Mytilus edulis: one gene and its partners. Each later gene encodes a partner of the first gene's protein in a complex. Links are inferred from orthologs where the notes say so. Each region holds a gene or a part of one and is shown on either strand. Other genes may lie near its edges.

Evidence for each region.
Region 2: pre-mRNA-processing factor 17-like (region 1) and pre-mRNA-splicing factor RBM22-like share a complex: the UniProt entries of both Homo sapiens proteins name them as parts of the postcatalytic spliceosome P complex. The link is inferred for Mytilus edulis from reciprocal best matches to the Homo sapiens genes CDC40 and RBM22.
Region 3: pre-mRNA-processing factor 17-like (region 1) and pre-mRNA-splicing factor SPF27-like share a complex: the UniProt entries of both Homo sapiens proteins name them as parts of the postcatalytic spliceosome P complex. The link is inferred for Mytilus edulis from reciprocal best matches to the Homo sapiens genes CDC40 and BCAS2.

The regions. Positions count from the first base shown.
Region 1 is NC_092353.1:60,952,867-60,960,052, reverse strand, and holds the start of pre-mRNA-processing factor 17-like, read left to right. Parts: upstream 1-4,158; 5' UTR 4,159-4,442; coding exon 4,443-4,601; intron 4,602-7,186. UniProt on the Homo sapiens protein: Required for pre-mRNA splicing as component of the activated spliceosome. Plays an important role in embryonic brain development; this function does not require proline isomerization.
Region 2 is NC_092352.1:86,310,889-86,318,272, forward strand, and holds the start of pre-mRNA-splicing factor RBM22-like, read left to right. Parts: upstream 1-4,349; 5' UTR 4,350-4,417; coding exon 4,418-4,471; intron 4,472-7,384. UniProt on the Homo sapiens protein: Required for pre-mRNA splicing as component of the activated spliceosome. Involved in the first step of pre-mRNA splicing.
Region 3 is NC_092356.1:71,254,339-71,261,693, forward strand, and holds the start of pre-mRNA-splicing factor SPF27-like, read left to right. Parts: upstream 1-4,348; 5' UTR 4,349-4,412; coding exon 4,413-4,487; intron 4,488-5,441; coding exon 5,442-5,534; intron 5,535-6,643; coding exon 6,644-6,714; intron 6,715-7,355. UniProt on the Homo sapiens protein: Required for pre-mRNA splicing as component of the activated spliceosome. Component of the PRP19-CDC5L complex that forms an integral part of the spliceosome and is required for activating pre-mRNA splicing.

The DNA of each region.
Region 1 (7,186 bases):
TTATTGGACGTTATGTTTGAGGTTTAAAAATAAGGAGACTTAATTTTAAAACATCACATGAGAAATATTCTCACATGTTTCCTTACCTGTAAAAAAACAATAATTGGTCAATGAAAGAGAAATATTAACTTTTTTCTTGTATGAGGCTGAGAAACTGGCCTTCCACAGTTTTGCGTCGAGTGCAAAAAAAGTTTATATTTTTATTAACTGTTATTTCAGTTACTTTCGTGTCTTCCCTTCCATTATGTGACTCAAGAAAAAATTCCAAAAAATGGGTATTGAAAAGAGAAAATCGAGTGCACATTTTTATGTTAGGGTGCGTTTGAAATGAATATTTTGTCTTAAAAACGTACTAAGCAAGAGTATTTGATACATCATCAGATTCTATCATTTTTATATAGCAAAGCTACAGGTTGACTTTATAACATAAAAAAAATCACAGTACTAAAAGATGAAATATATAGGTCAAGTGAAATACATATGTAACATGTGTAATGAATCACAAAATCAGAGTAGGTGTGTTCGAAAAACTTTTTTTTTTAAATAAAAGTTATAGACGACAGTCTTTTAAGTTGGATGATGACAATGCATATCTTCGAAAAAAAAATTTATCTTCCATTTCTACGATCGATTGTGAGAATGAATCGACGTAATAGGGAGATAATTTTGACGAATGTATCGTATATTTACAGGTAAGGAAACATGTGAGAATAATTGTCATGTGATGTTTTAAAATTTAAGGTCCTTTACCTCAAACATAACGTCCAATTAAATTTAAGTATCATGATGTACACAAGCTGAAACCCCGCCTATCTTAATTGCCATGCTTGAGCAAACATTGATTCAAACAAAGCAAGCAAGCCAAACAAAGATTTGTCTTGCTAGCATTAATGTAAAAGCTGTAATAACAGAGAGCAGTCCCTTTGAACATGTTGAACATGTTGAATATTGTGTATTCAATAATTTTTCAATTGTCAACGTACTAATTTTCATGGATTTGAGGAAAACTCGCATTTTCGTGGATATTTAATTTTGTGGTTTTGCTTAAGGTTGCATACATTACAATAAAAAATGTGTAATTCATTTCACATTTCAAGTTGTGGTTTCTCCAGAGTCATGAGATTCAAAGTGATACTTGATCTGGTATTTTGATCGCAAGCAGCAACCCAAATGACCTATTCAAAAATGGCTGTTGCAGTGCCTATGATATAAACATGGTTTATTTTACATCCTTCATCAAATGTACCCACAGCCAATTTCTAGTACGTTTTTTCTGGTACTGGTTTCTGAAATTTATTATAAACAAACCAAAGCGGCAAGCTACAATTTGTTATATTTCAGGGAAAATTTACTGTAGGACAGTTCAGGGATCTCCATGGATGAAAATTGAACGATGGAGGAACTTTCACCATTACAAACAGTGTCTATGCTGTACAGTGTAGCACGATCGGAAGTATTGTATACCTCCATACAAGGAATGATGAACATGCTAATTCATTGCTTATTTAAATTATATTTATTTGAATTTTCATTATAGAATTAGAAGTACAATGTATCAATATTTTCATTTATTGCCGTTTTTAACCATTCAAATGCCAAGTCTTCATGGTCCCCTTAGTCGAGAATGACCAAAAGCTGTCATGAAGGTCCCCATGTAGATTTCTTGTATTTTTGGTAATTGTTATGGGGGTTAAAAATCATATGATGTGGAGCTTATTTTTCATGGACACTGTCAAATTCATAACCCATTAACGGTATGGCTGATTTGCAGCAACAACAAAACGATTCGTACGGGTTATGTTAAAGGTTAAAGAGATTTGTAAAGCAAACGTTGACAAATGAAAAGGTTTTTAATGACTGTATCTGGCAAATTGATGCTGTGCAACATCCATCTTTCGAGTCTGAATACAAACCGGAAACACGGATGTATCAATATTGATTGTAATATACAAAATGAATTCGGAATTACGATACGATATTTCTTTACAGGAAATATTTAAGTTTTTACTTTTAAACTTTTAAAGTAATTCTAAATTATCGTTACAGCAGTACTTGAGTTAGTTGCAATGAAATAAATATTTACTGTTTTGCGTCTTATTTTGTACTTCTTAAAAAAGGGGGATGCTAATTGCGTAAGTCAAGAAAAAGCATGTGTTTCGACATTTTAAACTGTTTTCTTTGTAACTGTATTATTAATTTATTTATTTAATCTAAATTATCATAATCATCGATCATTTGCTGAAACTTAGTTGATTAATTCGACAAATGGATCGTCTATCCTCAGATAGTATTCTCCTGTCTGATTTGTTGATCTACCTGTACAAGCTCAGGTACAAGTGATTAGCGATCTTAATCCGGATATCCCTCAGGCGTTAGAACTGTATTGGATTATAACATAAAAAGCCTAAGGGTTATGCAATTACATGCATTTGATTATAAATGATAAAAAAAATAGTGTCGGGCTACAAAAAATGATGAAGTTTTGAACGATGGCGGAAGACAATTTAACGATGGCGCGAGTCATTTGACGATGGTGCGAGTCATTTGACGATGGTGCAAGTCATTTGACGATGGCGCAAGACATTTGAAAGATGGGGGGGCAGTGATATTGTTGTCTTTTTTCAAAACTACCTCTACCGTTTTTTATTGGGAAAAACGATATTTTTTATTGAAATTGGGAAATTTGTATATTTTATTCTAAACACATCTCCGATTTTTTACTGACCTTTGCTGTCTTTTTTGCACTTTTTTTTCGTGGATATTTTGGTTGTCAGACATTTTGAACCTGAAAGGTACTTTTCGGAGAGGGGAAAGAAACAGAAGCAATGTTGGTACTTAAATGCATTGAAAACCACTTGTGTTACAAGCACCATATTGATTCTGATCAGAAAACCGGATCTCAAAAGTGCTTTCTAATATCAAAATAATGACATGAATACGATATTTACAAACATTACTATCAATGCCTTCACTGTTTTGGGAAAAAGTTTAACTTTTTGGTAGGAATTTTAAGCCATTTTTTTTAGTGATTGGGAATTTCCTCTAGGGGAAAAAGCCGAATATCGGCTGTAATTTGAGGCAAACAATATCACTGGGGGGGGGGGGGGGGGGGCCATCGTTAAACAGGCCATGGAAATCCCTGGGACTGACATGTCATTCATGACAGTCTTACTGTCAAAGGTCAAAATAAATTTTAGCAAACTCTGGTTCCTTTAATTTGATACCACTATAACCATGAAAATTTGTAATCAAAGTCATACATGTCATCATGGTCATAACAATGAATTCAGTGTACTGTTCATATATATCTTATAATAAAATTTGTTGCAAGTATATAATGCATCTCAGCTGCATCTGTCTCATTTTATTTTTAAAAACCGCCATACATGATATTATTGTTCATGTTGTTAGTTCCGTCTGTACTAAAATCATAATTCCCTAGTGAGATTGGATTTAGCTATGTAAGTATACTCGCTGCATTGTTTCACAGAGGTTCAGGTTAAGACAAAGTGATTAAGAATTATGAACAACATTACAATTGATTGCCCAGCGACAGCATGGAACAGGTGACTGGCCCAAGTGACATTAGTGATGATGCCCTAAAAACGCAAAAATGATGTTCAATATGACAATTAGACCAAAGTTTTGACAGAAATGCAGCCAACTTAAGAGTGGTCTTTCACATCACTGATAACCAATTCAGGACTACACCATTATTTGTGGTTTACTCTTTACAAAAATTTATCTGGATAATTTAACATTCCGACCCTAAGCTGCATTGAATGATTGATTACGAATTGAGCTGTGTATTGAGATATGAAGATGCTTTAAGGGATCAGTATGAAAAGATTGAATGTGTAACTATGAACATATTCTTGAAATGATCAAATCTGTCTACATTTCTTGGATTCGACCTGAAAGATGACAGCAGAAAAACAAAAACAGGTCACTGGCACACCCAAGTTTTATAATAAATTTTGAGTAGTTAAGAAAAATGGCATGATTTTTCACGTGGTTATTCGAACAAATGATTCTTTTGTGATATAGAAACATGCTCACCAGTTGCATTCAAACTTCATGATTGGAAAAATGTAAATATTTACGATACAGCATCATCAATCCGGGAAGTCAAGAAAATGGCGATGAAATCTCGTTAATTATCATGCATTCTCATTATCAACGAGACTTGACATAAATTTGATTGAAGTCCTCATTAAGAAAATATTCCTTTCATTCAATTGATTTCTATAATTTACAAAAACTTTAACAAAACCAGACAATAAATGAAAAAATAAAATTTGATATAAAACTTAATTTCATTTACTGCAGTAAACTTTTTGTTCGATACTGTTGTTTACTCATTTAGTTTCCGGTTAATGCTTTTTGAAACGTTTTTTGCCTAGTTTTACTCTTTCAACGCCAATTATTGAAAATGTCCTAAAATGTTGGCACTCCAACAATATAGCAGTGATGAAGACAATTCAGATCATGAAAACAAAGATCATTTAGAGGATCTCACAGCCCATCTCAGACCAATAAATCAGCAAAATGCTATTTCTTCAACGATTCAGTTGAAAGCAGCACCAGAAATATTTACAAAAGTATGACAACCATATTTTGAAAAGTTTTCCAGATAATCTGTTTCCCAAAATTCTAATTTGTATCCTCTTTTATATTTGAATGAGGTGCTACCTGATGTCAGTTACGAGTACCCGTGAGATTGCTTTCAAGACATGACCGCCATATTTCCATGGTTTTACCCTCCCACACAATATCTGGTATGCAAACCGGAGTTAAAACTAGATTGGATACTTCGGGGGCATTAGTAGGTATCAGGTCCGTTCGCGCCCAATACACTTTCGTATTTGCAGCCTACACATTCGCACCTCTCATGTTCGCTCCGGAAGTACGTTCGCGTAGTCTTTAGAAGTGTCAACTTGACATTATAATCTCTCTGTAATTTCGATCATCCTGGTAATTTTATGTCGCTACTGTATAAAACTCATTTGTATATTTGTTTTTATGATGTGGCACTGCAGAGAAAAACAAATAAATAAATAAATAATTAATTAACTAAAAAAAAGTAAACAAATAAATGAATAAATAATTAACCCTTATAAAACCGTAACTATCTATTTTGTGAACCTTCCAGTATCTTTAATAAAGACCCCTAACAAATGTTGAATATCTTCTATGTGATGTTTGTAATTATCATTTTCTGTTGTTGCTAATAATACTTCTGATTCAAGTGTAAGTTTTGATGTTATGAAGTACATGTAGAGTGCAGAGAGGAGTTTTTCTCTAGCCTTCTCATAATTTTCACAATCCAGTAGATAATGGTCAACTATACCTTCGCACCCATTTTTGTCGAGCCTTCGACTTTAGTCGAAAAAGCGAGACTAAGCGATCCTACATTCCTTCGTCGTCGGCGGCGTCCACAAATGTTCACTCTGTGGTTAAAGTTTTTGAAATTTTAATAACTTTCTTAAACTATACTGAATTTCTACCAAACTTGGACAGAAGCTTGTTTATGATCATAAGAAAGTATCCAGAAGTAAATTTTGTAAAAATAAAATTCTATTTTTTCCGTATTTTACTTATAAATGGACTTAGTTTTTCTGCGAGGTAACATTACATTCACTCTGTGGTTAAAGTTTTTAAAATTTTAATAACTTTCATAAACTATCCTTGATTTGTACCATACTTGGACAGAAGCTTGTTTATGATGATAAGATAGTATCAAGAAGAAAATTTTGTGAAAATAAATTTCCGCTTTTCCGTATTTTACTTATAAATGGACTTAGTTTTTCTGCGAGGAAACATTACATTCACTCTGTGGTTAAAGTTTTTAAAATTTTAATCGCGGTGCGCGGTTTGTTTGTAATTTCCATCAATTTAGCAGATAAACTTTTTACTCTGGTAGATTAATCAATGAGTGATCGATTTCTCTTAGAAGAAATTTAAAGGTCTGAGTGAATAGACTATACAGAGAACAATACCTGTTGTATTTGTTCAATGGGACAATAGAACGGCCAAAAGTTTAAATGGACAGGTAACTATCAGGTGAATCTATTGAAAGGTTCAATTGGGTTCGCAATAATGTAAAAAAAAAATATGACATTCCTTGCATGTGTTACTGAGCAAGTGTCGCCTTGGGCCAGAGTAACAAAATAGGATTCAGATTTATAAACAATTAAACAAACATTTAATTTCAATTGTTCACTTATTAAATTTATCCATCTTATTGTAATAATAACAATTTGTATAACCAAAAATAAAGATAATTGTTTTTAACAGCTTGGCTCCTTTGAACTCATGTAAAAAAAATATTCATAGCAATACACTAACCAAAACATGATTAAGATTTTATCAACACAAGAATGAAAAAAAAACGTTGTCAGAATCTCACTTTACTTAGAAACAATGAAAAAAATATATTTATATAGAGCAGTACACTTGCAGTTTCACTGATTAGCAACAAGAAGAATTTTAGCGACAAGAAGCAACAAGAAGAATTTTAGCGACAAGAAGCAACAAGAAGCTATTTAACGACACAAAAACATTTTTTTATTAAAATTATTTATTCCAAATAAATATTAAAAGAATATGCAAAAGAAAAAATTTTTAGCAACAAGAAAGTTAATATTGATAGAAAAAAAATTGAAACATAGATCTAATTGCTACATTTATTTATATGATTTTTATTATCTATTATGTACAACAGCAAGTATTACGTATTATGATATTACTTTTACTTGTGTTTTAGAACAATAATATACAGATATATTTATCTTATAATTTGTTTTTTAAAACTTTCTTTGTATAATATATAATAAACTTGCGAAATGCATTATTTGTACATCATTGTCCTGAAAGTACAGGCAAAAATTGTGAAATACAAAGGACTGAAATCAAACAAGAGGGAAACAAAAATAAAAATGTGAATATTTTTCACATTATTTTAGTTTGTGTATTTCCTCATTTAACGATATCTTTTATTAAATAGGTCATCAATTTATATCTGCCCGTGTATTAAAAAAAATTTATAAATGCATATTTCTTAATATTTAATAAAAAAAAAAAAAATGCTTTCTTGTCGCTAAATAGTCTTCTTGTCGCTTCTTGTCGCTAAAATTATTCTTCTTGTCGCTTCTTGACGCTTCTTGTCGTTAATTAGTGAGACCCG
Region 2 (7,384 bases), on another chromosome or scaffold:
AATTATCTGGCAGTAATATGTAATTGCCTTTCAAACACATGTTGATTTTATAAATAAATATTTTAGAAAAGTGTCTTAAAGTTGTAACTATAAACTGGCTTTAACATCTGGCATTTATAGTCAAAACAAATAAATTATGCCTACTCAGTGTATTTGATAAAGAAGTTTAAATTGTATTCTTAATTGGTGATGATGGGATACATTTTAGATCATTTTATAAATTTGACACCTGTCTGATGAAACAAGAATGTGGTACTAGTACATAGATGCCCCACTCACACTATCATTATCTATGTTCATTGTTGAATTGAAAGTGAGATTGGGGTCAAAACTCTAGTTAAACTGTTTGGCATTAAAATTAGAAAGATCACATCATAGAAAAATAAGTACTACTTATCAAGTTGATTGGACTTAAAACTTTATCAAAAACTACCTTCACCAAAAACTTTAACCTAAAGCAGGACAGTTGAATTAACAAATGAACAGAAGGGCAGACAAACAGATGCACAGACCAAAAATCATAATGCCCCTAGGAGGGGCATACAAAATGTTTATATTCAATTCACCAAAATGAACAAATTTTCAGAAATGACTTTTATGCATTAACAACTTATCATGGATGCTGAATTCCTGATGCAGCTATACATGTGGGTTAGAGTCATTAATAATCATGATGATAAATATGAAAAAAAACATTTATATCCTAAAACAGGACAAGCTAAACCAGGTGCTCCGCAGGGTGCAGCTTTATACGACCGCAGAGGTCGAACCCTGAACAGTTGGGGCAAGTATGGACAAAACATTCAAGCGTGATACAGCTCTGAATTTGGATTGTGATCAAAATTTTGACAATACATGTTTTTTTTTTACACAAAACAAATGTCAAGATTTTACAAATCAATTAAAGATTTCTTCTTCAAACTTTTTAAATCTAAAATTAAATAGTTGACACAGCATAGGTTTCTGACACAGAATGAATGTGGTCTAATGAACTTAAAAGGTTTTTTTTTGCCTTTGAGCAATTCACTATGCTGTTGAATATTAATCCTCTCAAAAAAATGATTGAAGAAATTTTCTTTTTATTTATGAAATCCGAAATGAGAAAAATTTACCCCCCCCCCCCTTTTTTTTCACATCCCTGTTTCCCTTTTTCCAAAACTGATATCAATTCAAATTTCTAATGGAGTTTGCAACAATAACTACTCTTTTAAATACATCATAAAATATTAAAATGTAAAATAAAGTGCTTGTTATCACTAAATGGTAAAGATTGGTTGGTAGTAAAAGTGAATATACATTGTTTATTGTATAAAAAAATAAAAAAAACTTCATCAGAAACATTTTATATTGGCAAATTTCCAATGAAGTTATTTACATAAAGTTATTGGCAAATAAAAATAGAAAATGACATCATAGTCATGTCTGGCAAATGTCCAACATACACTATCTAAAAACATTTTAGATAAGATAAGGAAAAAAAGCTTCATCAGCAACATTTTATATTGGCAAATTTCCAATGAAGTTATTTACATAAAGTTATTGGCAAATAAAAATAGAAAATGACATCATAGTCATGTCTGGCAAATTTCCAACATATATTATCAACTACTATTCTATACAAAGAAAGATAACTCCAATTGAAAATTAATTGCTATTGCACAATATTGTGCAATTAGATATTTCTTGCTATTGTGCAATACTGTGCAATTGAAAATATCTTGCTATTGCACAATACTTGATATGGAATCCTGATTTGGACCAACTTGAAAACTGGGCCCATAATCAAAAATCAAAGTACATATTTAGATAAAGCATATCAAATAAGCCCAAGAATTTAATTTTTGTTGAAATCAAACTTAGTTTATTTTGGACCCTTTGGACCTTAATGTAGACCAATTTGAAAACTGGACCAAAAATTAAGAATCTACATACACAGTTAGATTTGGCATATCAAAGAACCCATTTATTCAATTTTTGATGAAATCAAACAAAGTTTAATTTTGGACCCCGATTTGGACCAACTTGAAAACTAGGCCAATAATTAAAAATCTAAGTACATTTTTAAATTCAGCATATCAAAGAACCCCAAGGATTCAATTTTTGTTAAAATCAAACTAAGTTTAATTTTGGACCCTTTGGACCTTAATGTAGACCAATTTGAAAACGGGACCAAAAATTAAGAATCTACATATATAGTTAGATTCGGCATATCAAAGAACCCCAATTATTCAATTTTTGATGAAATCACACAAAGTTCAATTTTGGACCCTTTGGGCCCCGTATTCCAAAACTCCCAAAATCAAACCCAACCTTCCTTTTATGGTCATAAACCTTGTGTTTAAATTTCATAGATTTCTATTTACTTATACTAAAGTTATTGTGTGCGAAAACCAAGAATAATGCTTATTTGGGCCCCTTTTTGGCCCCTAATTCATAAACTGTTGTGACCTCAACTCCAAAAATCAATCCCAACCTTCCTTTTGTGGTCATAAACCTTGTGTTAAAATTTCATTGATTTCTATTCACTTTTACTAAGGTTAGAGTGCGAAAACTAAAAGTATTCGGACGACGACGACGACGCAGACGACGACGCCAACGTGATAGCAATATACGACCAAAAAATTAAAATTTTTGCGGTCGTATAAAAACATAACTGGAATAGTGCTAAAAGACAACATTAACACACTATAATTTTTACAACATCAAGGAAAAGTACCTCATGATTGGACCTGTTTTCAAAAAAGGAGACAAGCATCATCCTGGTAACTATAGACCAATCTCATTATAAACTTGTATTTCTTGCAAATTATTAGAGCACATATATATATACTATTACTAACTTGCAGGCAACATCATGAAACGTCTTGAACACAGCTTCAGGACAAATAGATCTTTCTAATTCCAAATAACTTCACTAATTCACCAGCTGTCATCAATGTTTTTCAGATTTGGAAATTTTTTGAAATATAAATTTTGTGATTAGATTTTATTTTTGGTGTTTGAAGGCAACTTTCACGCACTGCTTTTGGGCTACTTCTTGGTGGCCAGTTTTTATTGGTGGAGGAAGCCGGGTCCGGAGTGTCCAGAGAAAACTGTTGATCTTTGATAGGAAAACTGACAATCCTAGTCAATTAAAATTGGAGTTGAGTGCACCTGCACAAGCAGGGTTCAAACTCACAACCTCAGCATTAACTGGCTAGTGAATACAGTAGTATCTACTTAGACCACTCGGCCACTGATCATGAGGCCCCAATAAATTTTGTGATAATTCAAATCGTGGAGAGCTATATATTCTAAAACAAAATGAAGCTTATTTTCTATGAAATTAAGCGTTGACAGAGCCTTTATATCTAAACTTACAACTCCATTGACCTCTGGGCAGACCAGAGGTAAAAACTAATTCTACCAAGAAAAGGCTACAGCAGACACCTTTGGCCAATCATTCTTCCTTACTCCTAAGGACCATCAGGGACTGGAACTAAAATGCCAACAACAGCCAACTTGCCTGAGATAACTCTGATGCCCAAGTTCTTTTTTGCCAGACAAGCTGGGGCCCTGGGACACGGCCCGGGTCCTGTCTGGAAAAACAGCTGTTGGATATCAGAGTAATCTCAGACTACAGCCGACACAGTTGAAGGATTCAGAGCTGCCCTGAAGGCATGTTTTGCTACAATCATGAATCTAGACAGTAATATCATGTAGGTAATTTTTATTATTATTAAAAAAAACCCCAGCTTTATTTAGAGTCGGCATAGTATACAAACGAGTACATAACACGAGCTCTAATGAGATTTAACCTACATAACCGTTTTAATTGTAAATACATATACATTTAGAGACTCTCTATATGTATTTACAATTAAAACTGAGACTCTTTAACAGCCAAGAGAAAACTTTTTGTGGTGTCTGACACTAGGCATCGTTTCCGCTGGAATAAATACATTCAACTATTGAATTTGGTTCTTCACTGAAAGAAGAAGAAGTTAAAGTGATGGAGTTATCTGTACAGACTTCATTAAATTTATAAAAATAACTTCTTCTTTTTCCATAAATTTTCTGTTCAGTCTTCAGTTCAGACCACCATCTGGTGTATTTTCGAACGAATTCGTTTCAAAATAAAATATAGAAATACGTCATTTGTTTACTTTACAGTATATTTGTAAATTTATAAGAAATGATCAGCAAATTGATCCAAAAAGAATACTTTTCTTTGGTTCTTCAGTTCCTCTGTGTGTGTAATTTTCTCAAAATAAACAAAGCTGGGTCATATTTGTTCTTGAAAACTAGGTCATTATTACTGCTACAATCAAACATTTTAGTGATTTTAAACAACTGGTACAAACTTTTGTTCTGTTTTAGGTAGTGTTGTACTATACTTCGCAACATCAGGGGACCAGATTTCACTAAAAGAAAAGAAATGGCGACATCGAAGGGTGCAAATACGTACAATCGACAAAACTGGGAAGATTCTGTATGTTTTAAAGACTATTTCACTGCATATTACCTTTACATGTGACAAACAACCTCTATGGAAAAGTTTATTTGTTCCAAACTTTTATTTGGCACATTCTGCAAGAATGAAAAATATGAATAGCAAATATTATCCAGAAAAGTTTGTAATTTTCTGAAACATAAAATGCATTTAAAATCTAATTATCATGTTCCTGTCATCCCTGAAAAATTTTGCAGGGGTTTAGGTGTGTCTGTACTCAGAGTAAAATTTGTGGTGTAAATATGGCCGTTAGGTGAACCTTAATATCTGTAGATGGTAGAAAAAGTAGTTTACAGAAAAAGTATGGAGCATCTTTTTACCACAGAACACCGCATAATACCACAGAACACTCTAACTAGGTGTCAAAACTTTTAAATGACATGTTTCTTTGCTTAATTGGTGTTTACGGAAAGTGTCAAAATGGGTTAATCTAATTAAATTTTGGTACTTTAATTGGGTTGGTGAACATGCTATGGTCAACATTTTTGGACTCAAAATACAGAATCTATATGTTAATGCTCCATATACATATACGATCTCTTAATACATACAAAATTTGGCAGAAATCGGAAATATTGTCAAATGCACACAACATAAGAATCCAAAAACAGTCATCGAACTTGAACTTTTTGACAATTAAAAAGAGACACTTATAATATGGTATTAGTCAACTCAACATGCTCAAAGATTCAGATATCTTTTTGGAAGTATTTGATAGCTCTTAGCACTGTATTGTTTTATGTATCATTTATATACCAGGGCTCACATTACTTCAGAATTATAGGGAGAAGTGACTTCTCTTTTTGAAACTGATAGGGAGAAGTGGTGAGATTTGAAAGAGAAGTGCTCATTCGCGCGGTGCGCTACAATGTTTGGATTTTACAATAGTATAAAGGGCCACATGTAAATAATGTTCTTTTTATGTTGTTCAATTCATGAGTAAAAAATTACAATTAAAGTAACATTTGAAATTAAAAGTTGTTTAAGTTTTACTAAGGTTCTTGTGAGAAACTACCAACTAAATATCTAGCACTAAAAAAAAAATTATTTTAAAAAATGTAAAGAAATTATAATATATCAATTACAATTTAATTAAAAATTATCTTGTGTATGAAATTCAGTGTTTCTCATAAAAAAATATAAAAGTTATTAAGCTGGACTATAATATATTGATATTAGTAGAATAGTCTCAGAGTTAAGCAACTTTAATCAATAGTTTGAAACAATCCATAAAAAATATAGGGACTTATATACACCAATCAATTAGATGTAACCAAAAGTCTCTTAATGACTGTGGAATGCGTAATTTTTCCCTTTGGGATCAATATTCTTCTGTCAGCTGTTCCATCCGTGCGTCCGTAGTAATTATTGTAAAAGTACGGATTTCTGTCATAGCTGGTCCGGTTCAGATCCGTAGTTTAGAAATCGGTCAATGGCGGACGAATGCAAGAAAATTTACAAAAATAAACGATGTTTGACAAGTTATTTGGAAAGGAACATGACGGTTTTAATGCAATAAATGGATCAAACATTTACTGGAGGCAACTTTTATCACGTTTAAATGAAGTAACAAACTTATTTTGCCGCCGAAATTTAGGTTGATGTACGTTTTCGAGTAACAAGCACCGGGACTTGCGGAAATGCACGAAGTGATAAAAAGTTGTATTTTTATCAAATAACCGGCTACACACTGCGAAGACAATGCTTCAACATCTTTTCTAAAGATAATGAATCGTTTATGTCTGAATTTCTTTAATTATCAGTAAAAAATTGATGTTTCATCAACTTGGTAAAAATTGAAAATGTCTGATGACGGAAGCGACTGAAAGCGACTATCGTCAAGAACAGGGCGACTTGTTTTCGCTTTTGGTGGTCGGGGAAAGCGAAGTGACGGTCGGGAAGGCGACTTCTTCGCCCAAGTCGCCTGGTAGCGTGAGCCCTGTATAATACATGATCAGTCAGGGGACTTACTGAAATAAGTGATTTTTAAATCACTCATTTGAGTAGCAAATTCGAAGTTTTGTCACAAATTGTAATATTGTAGTTTTACCAAAATATTAAACACAAAGGTTTAAAAAATATCTTTCCATTAGTAAAATTGAAAAAAATGATTTTTAACCTTCTTTTAAGTATCAAGATTTATGCCTTTGATGCTATCATTTAGCTGCAAATTCTATTTTAGTTGAAAAAATGCTATAATAATGGCTTTACATAATGAACTGATACTTTCTTAACAGATTTTTCCCAGCAGTGGAAGTATTTTTCCTGTAAAGTTCAAGGTTTTATCTTTTAGATTATGTAATAAAATTCTACTGTTCGCGATAAAAATTTCACTGTTCGGGGGTGTTGAAATTAGTGGGGGTTATTAAAATAATGATACTCAAAGGAGTGATTTTTGGGAAGGAAATTGAGGTATGATACTTAACCAAGTGATTTTTATGTCATTATCCTAGATTCAGTACAAGGTCATCACCTGAAATGACCTGGTCATCCTAAACAACACAGATGTTAACGTTGGTTCTGATAAGTTTAGAAACATAATTAGTCCCTGGATCATTAGTATTCTATATTTAAAGCTACAGTTAAATTAAATCACTTCTTCTAGTGATTATTTTGTACTACTTAAATAGGTGATTATTAAAGAAAGACAACTCTTACTTTCAACCTTTATGGAAATAATGTTACTTGAATCAGTGATTTAAAAAATCACTCATTTAAGTAAGTCCACTGATATATACATATAATTAATAAAAAAAAAGTGTAAAAAAATACCAACCGAATAACAAAATGAACTTACTTGTAACAAATAACTACGAAAATGCATGTCTTAATATTTTCAAAAATGAATTAAAAATTAAAAAAAGATAAAGATGTATTCAATAGCTATGGATT
Region 3 (7,355 bases), on another chromosome or scaffold:
ATAACTTAAAGTCGCATTTTGAAATTATTATATGAATTAAACAGATATTTGGCAATCTCAAAACAAAATTAAATTTTCTTTTAGTCTTAAATGATAAAATAGCAATAATTAATGCATGTCATAATTTCATAATTTACAGTACTTCAGGATGCAATGCCATTAACTTCATTGAGGTCCAATGCAAATCATAGTCCCTTGCAGCAACTTGGTGAAGGTTATAGATATACCCAGTCTCCTTCCATCTATCAGTTTGACATGTCTTCTAAGAGATCTCACACAAATGATTCCTGCTAGAGTTTTATGAAATTTATACCAAAGGTTTATATTGGCAATGTCTTGCACAAAATTTCAAATGCAGAATTGATAAATTATTGTTGCTTTAAATATATCCCTAATGCATTTTGATTGCTCCCAAGTCTACATTCTTGCTAGATTTTTATGGAGCCTTCGACTTTTGTCGAAAAAGCGAGACCTAGCGATCCTACATTCCGGCAGCAGCACCGTTCACAAATATTCAATCGATGGTTAAAGTTTTTGAAATTTTGATAACTTTCTAAAACTATCCTAGATTTCTACTAAACTTGGACAGAAGCTTGCTTATGATCATAAGATAGTATCCAGAAGTAAATTTTGTTAAAAAGAATCCTATTTTTCCATATTTTATTTTATTTATAAATGGACTTATCTCTGTGGTTAAAAGTTTTTAAAACATTTATTAAATTTATAAACTATCCAGGATTTTTACCAAACTTGGACAGAAGCTTCTTACAATCAAAAGATAGTATCTAGATGAACATTTCATCCTCATTTTTGTTGAGCCTGCGACTAACAGCAGAAGTAGTCAAGACACTGGGTTCCGCTGAACCCTTACAAATTTTTATGAAATTGACACAGAAACTTTATATCAGTTATGTCTTTAATGAGATGAAAATCTTTGCTGATCAACTTTTTTTACAGGAATTATGTCACTTTGAATTTTATTGTATATATAAATCCTAACAATGATTTTGAATTAACAGTAATTGAGTCCCTGTGAAGTAGTATTGGATAGTTGTGGTGGTTGTTAACTTTTCAAGTATATTTGATACAATTATTGTCTTCATGACATGGAAATCATTTATACTGTTATAATCCTGGGAGTGATTGTATACAGAGTAATTCTAATAGGAAAATCATGGTCATTTAATTTGTTATACTTTTCGGTGTGATGTAATAATGTAAAATGAGTAATTGATATTACACCTCAAAGGTGATGTAACATTGATAATAGGAAACTCATTGAGTGTGTCAGTGACATTGTCATAGTATTATATGTGTTATATCATTGACATTGTCATAGTATTATATGTGTTTTATCATTGACATTGTCATGGTGTGTCAGTGACATTGTCATAGTATTATATGTGTTATATCATTGACATTGTCATGGTGTGATGTGACATTGTAATATTAATGACATTGTTATACTTATGGGTGTGATTGTCATAGAATAAGAATTTTATTAGTATAAAATCCAAACAATAGGATTGTTACTAAAATACAAAAAAATGTGACATTGTAATATTAATAATTGTGTTTGTTAGTATAAATACAGTAATTATTGTATTTAACCTTTGACATTGTAGGTTACATGTATGAATGTGATAGAAATGACAATGTTATTGTTATGAATGAGTGTAGGGCAACAGATATTTTTTGTTGGAAGCATATTTTGTTGGCGTAAGCAATCATTTTTTTTATGGTATCTTGTTATGAATGATTTGGTGTGATTGTTATGATATTCTGTGATAGATCTATGAACTTTAGGGGCAGAATATTAAATGTGGGATCCTTCTGACGTAATTAAATATTTGTCTGACTTAATAAAAATATTTATTTATATAAAGATGTGTCTATTTCAGTTCCTTCAGAATTATTAAGTGACGGTATGGTAGTCATTTTCAGTATTATTAATTGACGGTATGGTAGTCATTTTCAGTATTATTAATTGACGGTATGGTAGTCATTTTCAGTATTATTAATTGACGGTATGGTAGTCATTTTCAGTTTTATTAATTGACGGTATGGTAGTCATTTTCAGTATTATTAATTGACGGTATGGTAGTCATTTTCAGTATTATTAATTGACGGTATGGTAGTCATTTTCAGTATTATTAATTGATTTCAGTATTATTAATTGACGGTATGGTAGTCATTTTCAGTATTATAAATTGACAGTATGGATGTCAGTTTCAGTATTATTAATTGACGGTATGGTAGTCATTTTCAGTATTATTAATTGACGGTATGGTAGTCATTTTCAGTATTATTAATTGACGGTATGGTAGTCATTTTCAGTATTATTAATTGACGGTATGGTAGTCATTTTCAGTATTATAAAGTGACGGTATGGTAGTCATTTTCAGTATTATTAATTGATGGTATGGTAGTCATTTTCAGTATTATTAAGTGACGGTATGGTTGTCATTTTCAGTATTATTAATTGACGGTATGGTAGTCATTTTCAGTATTATTAATTGACGGTATGGTAGTCATTTTCAGTATTAATAATGGACGTTATGGTAGTCATTTTCAGTATTAATAATGGACGGTATGATAGTCACTTTTAGTATTAATAATTGACGGTATGGTAGTCAATTTCAGTATTATTAATTGACGGTATGGTAGTCATTTTCAGTATTATTAATTGACGGTATGGTAGTCATTTTCAGTATTAATAATTGACGGTATGGTAGTCATTTTCAGTATTATTAATTGACGGTATGGTAGTCATTTTCAGTATTATTAATTGACGGTATGGTAGTCATTTTCAGTATTATTAATTGACGGTATGGTAGTCATTTTCAGTATTATTAATTGACGGTATGGATGTCATTTTTAGTATTAATAATTGACGGTATGGTAGTCATTTTCAGTATTATTAATTGACGGTTTGGTAGTCAGTTTCAGTATTATTTATTTACGGTATGGATGTCAGTTTCAGTATTATTAGTTGATAGTATTGGCCTTCTAAAGTTCCATGTCAAATATCACAGTCCTGAATAACTGGGTATAGATTATGACAACAGTACTTACTTGAAATGTTTTGCCTCCTTTTCTGATCATGATTTAATTTATGTTTAAAGACTCAAACAGATTGGGTTTATGTAAATGACAAGGTAAGATCAGATGAAACCCTGCCAGACATGTGAACAATTCAATCATTTCATGGGACCTCAGTGGTCAAGTGGTCTAAATTGTTACCACAGTAATCACTAGCCAGTCAACTCTAATGTGAGTTTGAACCTTGCTCGTGCAGGTGGACTTGACTCCAATCTTAATTGACAAGAATTGCAGTTTTCCTATCCAAAGTCTGTGGATTTCTATGCTTCATCCACCAATAAAAACTGACCACCACCAAATAGCCCAAAAGAAATGTGTTAAAACACCAAAATCAATATCAATCAATCATTTCATACATTAAATAAAGTCAGCCTAGGTATATTAGTTATATGTAGTATCTAAAAAAACAGACAACCAGAAAAAACTTATCATTGATCTATCATGGGTGATGAAAATTAGAAATATGTCAGATGAACCCTGCCGAACAGCTTTTATACCATGCAATAAAAAAATAGCTGACGTACTGCATAAACTATCTAATATTCAAAACACAATAAAAGAGGGACGAAAGATACCAGAGAGACATTCAAACCCATAAATCAAAATTATACTTCACAATTCCATGGCTAAAAAGAAAAAGATATACAGACAAACACAATGGTACATAAAACACACAACATAGAAAATTAAAGACTTAAGCAACATGAACCCCACCAAAAACTGATGTAATCTCAGGTGTTCTGGAAGGGTAACAGTATTTACTTTTCGGTTTTGTTGATCACAAATTGTACAGCACCTGCACTTGATGACACAGCATCAGCGTGATGCTATTTTTCCGTTGCTGATTAACGAAAGAAGAAGCAGATCCTGCTCCACATGTGTCGCCCATTGTGTCGTTCATGTTAGTACAAACCCTGTAACAAGTCCTACTTGTTAGGAAAATTTTGTGAAAAAGGGAAAAGATTGTAGTTACGACATATGGGACACATCTGCAATCATACATCTGTGAAACTTATATTCCATAAAGGTCAACCAACTCCTGATGGCATCCGTAAATTTAAGAATGGAATGATTTCGTCTTAAAGTAAAATAGTAAAAAAAAATTGAATGTGCATATTTTGGTTGTTACTATTCATTGTGTTCAAATGAAGTAAATAGCACCCATCATCATAATTATTGTCTGATTTAACGGTCGTAATAGTCAAAGCTTATTATAGTCCGATTGTATGGGTTGGGCCGAATTTGTTATAGGCCGAGTTTGTTATGGCCCGAGATAGCAGAAATATTAAGTTATCTCCCCTTAGTATACAATGGCTGGAGAAGTTGTTGTCGATGCCTTACCTTATTTTGACCAAGGATATGACGAACCAGGTGTTCGAGAAGCCGTAAGTTTAATCAAAGATAATACAAATTAAATACAAATTACTGTTTATTCATTCATGACCCACTTATAATGGCCTCTCAAGTTAAAACTTCATACACGTGAGAAGTCGCAATTATTTATGCAGTAAAAAAAATATATATATAATTATATAAATATATTTTGCTAAGGAAGTAATTTAATTCTATAGCTTACTCGGTATATGCTCTGCCTGGAACTGATACAGTTGAACTGCCTTGTATTTGTAACACAGATGTCCCAGTGGGAGTCGAGACGAGCAATTTTGTAATGAATTGTATACTCTCTAGATCTGCACACAGGCACTCGTCTCAGAAATTTTTTTTCGGAGATGAGTGCCTGTGTCTCTGCAGACCGAGTTACATTAGCGCCCAACTAAAAAAACCCACAGTGGTAAGAGAAGAATTCTATCTAGGGTACATTTGTATATGTGTTAGAGTTATAATGGTATTATGACTAGACTTTCTGGAGGTGGGGGAAGGGTGATATGGTAGATCCTTAGTCAGCCGTAAGCAGTTGAACTAAGAAAGTACTTCATTAGCTCAGTCAATATACATGCTGTCTGGTAACATAAAGTGTGACATGTGAAAGTCAAATTATTGTGCTTTGAAAACGGGAAATGAATTCTAGTGGGTCACAGGAAATAACCAAAAAATAAGAATTGCTTACGTACATAGTGTATTAAAGCGGGATACGGGAATCTGACTAATACAGCCCCCGTTAAAGGCTACTTTCTTTATTTTGTTTTGACGCCTTTTTATATTTGATGATTTGATACTTAAAATCGATAAAGGAATAATTTAAAAGATAACAGAAAAACAAACTTCCTTGATTAGAATCCTTGGACATTTCAATATAAAAATCACAATTTTTCTTAAGGAATTAAGTCTAGGCTTAAATTTTGTGCCTCATTTTTATGTGTTGTATAATTTAATTTTAGGCTCTTGCTTTGGTTGATGAAGAAACCAGAAGATACAGACCTACAAAGAATTATCTAGAATACTTACCTGCTCCTAACTATCTACAGTTCGAGGTAATTACAAAAATATATTTAGAAATTTTACCTGCTCTAAAAATGTATTTAGTTTGAGGTATGAATTGGGGGGGGGGGGGGGGGGAGTAAATAATATAATTTAAATCCTGACATCCTGAAACACCCGATCCCGGAGTCCCGATTAAGGTCCTATCCCCCTTCATGAATGAATACATTATTTGCATTAAATATTCATGCTGTGGCAAATAATGATGTATACAGTAGACATGGTAGATTAAACTTAAATTTTTTTATTTGGTAATTTTTCATTTAAAGCTACATGACTGAAAAAAAATTTGAAGTTGAGTAGAATGAAAACCCTCTGGTACCATAAGCATGTGTCAATGACATTGCCTATGAAAATACAGATTATCAGATTTATAGCTTACAACGCAGTATTTGCTTTACTCATTGTTGAAGTCCGTAAGCTGACCCATAGTTGTAAATTTCTGTGTCATTTAGTCTTTTGTGGAGAGTTGTCTCATTGGCAATCATAGTCATACCACATCTTTTTTTATATCTATATAGCTATGGTCCTCCAACTCAAAGGAAGTCTTTTTAGCCATTCTTTGAGATTGTAGCCGAGAAGCATCCTATTTATTTTTAAAATTTAGATAATCTATTGTAAAGTCTAAAGAACATTGCAAACAAACATATACAAAAATGAACAGAAGTAATATGTTATACAATACTATTTCAAGAATATATATGATACAATTTTCTAAGCGGCTTTTAAATAAATACATAGTTTTACTGTCAGATTAACAATGCGAGTGGCTCAGTGCAATGAATCAACATAATTTTACTTTGGCCATGAATAGTAATATTTAGGTAAATTTTTTATTAGAAAAGATCTATTTCATTGTATTTGGTGGACAAGGTAAAACACGATGATATTCATCTCCAACATTCATATTGCAATAAATGTTCAAAGAAATAAAAGCCACTCTTACAGCCTACATGAGTGCAGTATTTGTGAAAGGAACATGACATAGAGATACAATGGTTATTTTTGATAGGCAGTTACGTTGTAAATCATTCATGTTTTTTCAAGCGAAAATTTTGTTTTCAGTCACTTTATAAAAATGCTTTATTTGTTGTTTTTTCAGACAGAGATAATGAAAACAGAGTATGAAAGAATGCAGTCACGGTTACCTATGGATATGTTGAACATGAAAAGGTTTACATTTTGTTTTAATCAAAATTACATTTAATGTATATTAAAAAAGAAATATTTAGAATATCCACAAGAAATGTTGATGTCTTTCAGACTTTGTAAATGTTATGAGTTAAATTGACACTAGCGGTTCAATACACACACTACAGACTCAAATGATTAGGTTTAAACCAACATCTTCATGCAGTATTCTTTTAAACCCCTTTTATATTTTGACAGGTTCAGTTCAGTTTCTTGTATATTCCTCCATTAATTGTGGAGCACTACCCAAAGGGTATAGTTTTAGCAACTACATTGTATGTACACCTTAAAACATAAGGAAACAATTAATTATATACAGATGACTGAATTTGGTTATAATAATCACTAAATGATAAATATCATAATTAATTCATAGGATTGTCATCATAAAGTTTTAAAAGATATATAAGATATATAATAATTCAAATGTGCTGGGTTGTAAGAAAATATTAAGAAACAACTGCATATATTTACAAATAAAAATTAAAATGGTCTCAAATTAAAATTACTTATAATTATTAGTTGAAAGTGCTATACATACATCGGGAACTATAATGAAAATTTTATTTTATAAGACTTATGTAAAATGGTTGGGGTTTGGAAAAAATTAAGCTATAATATAT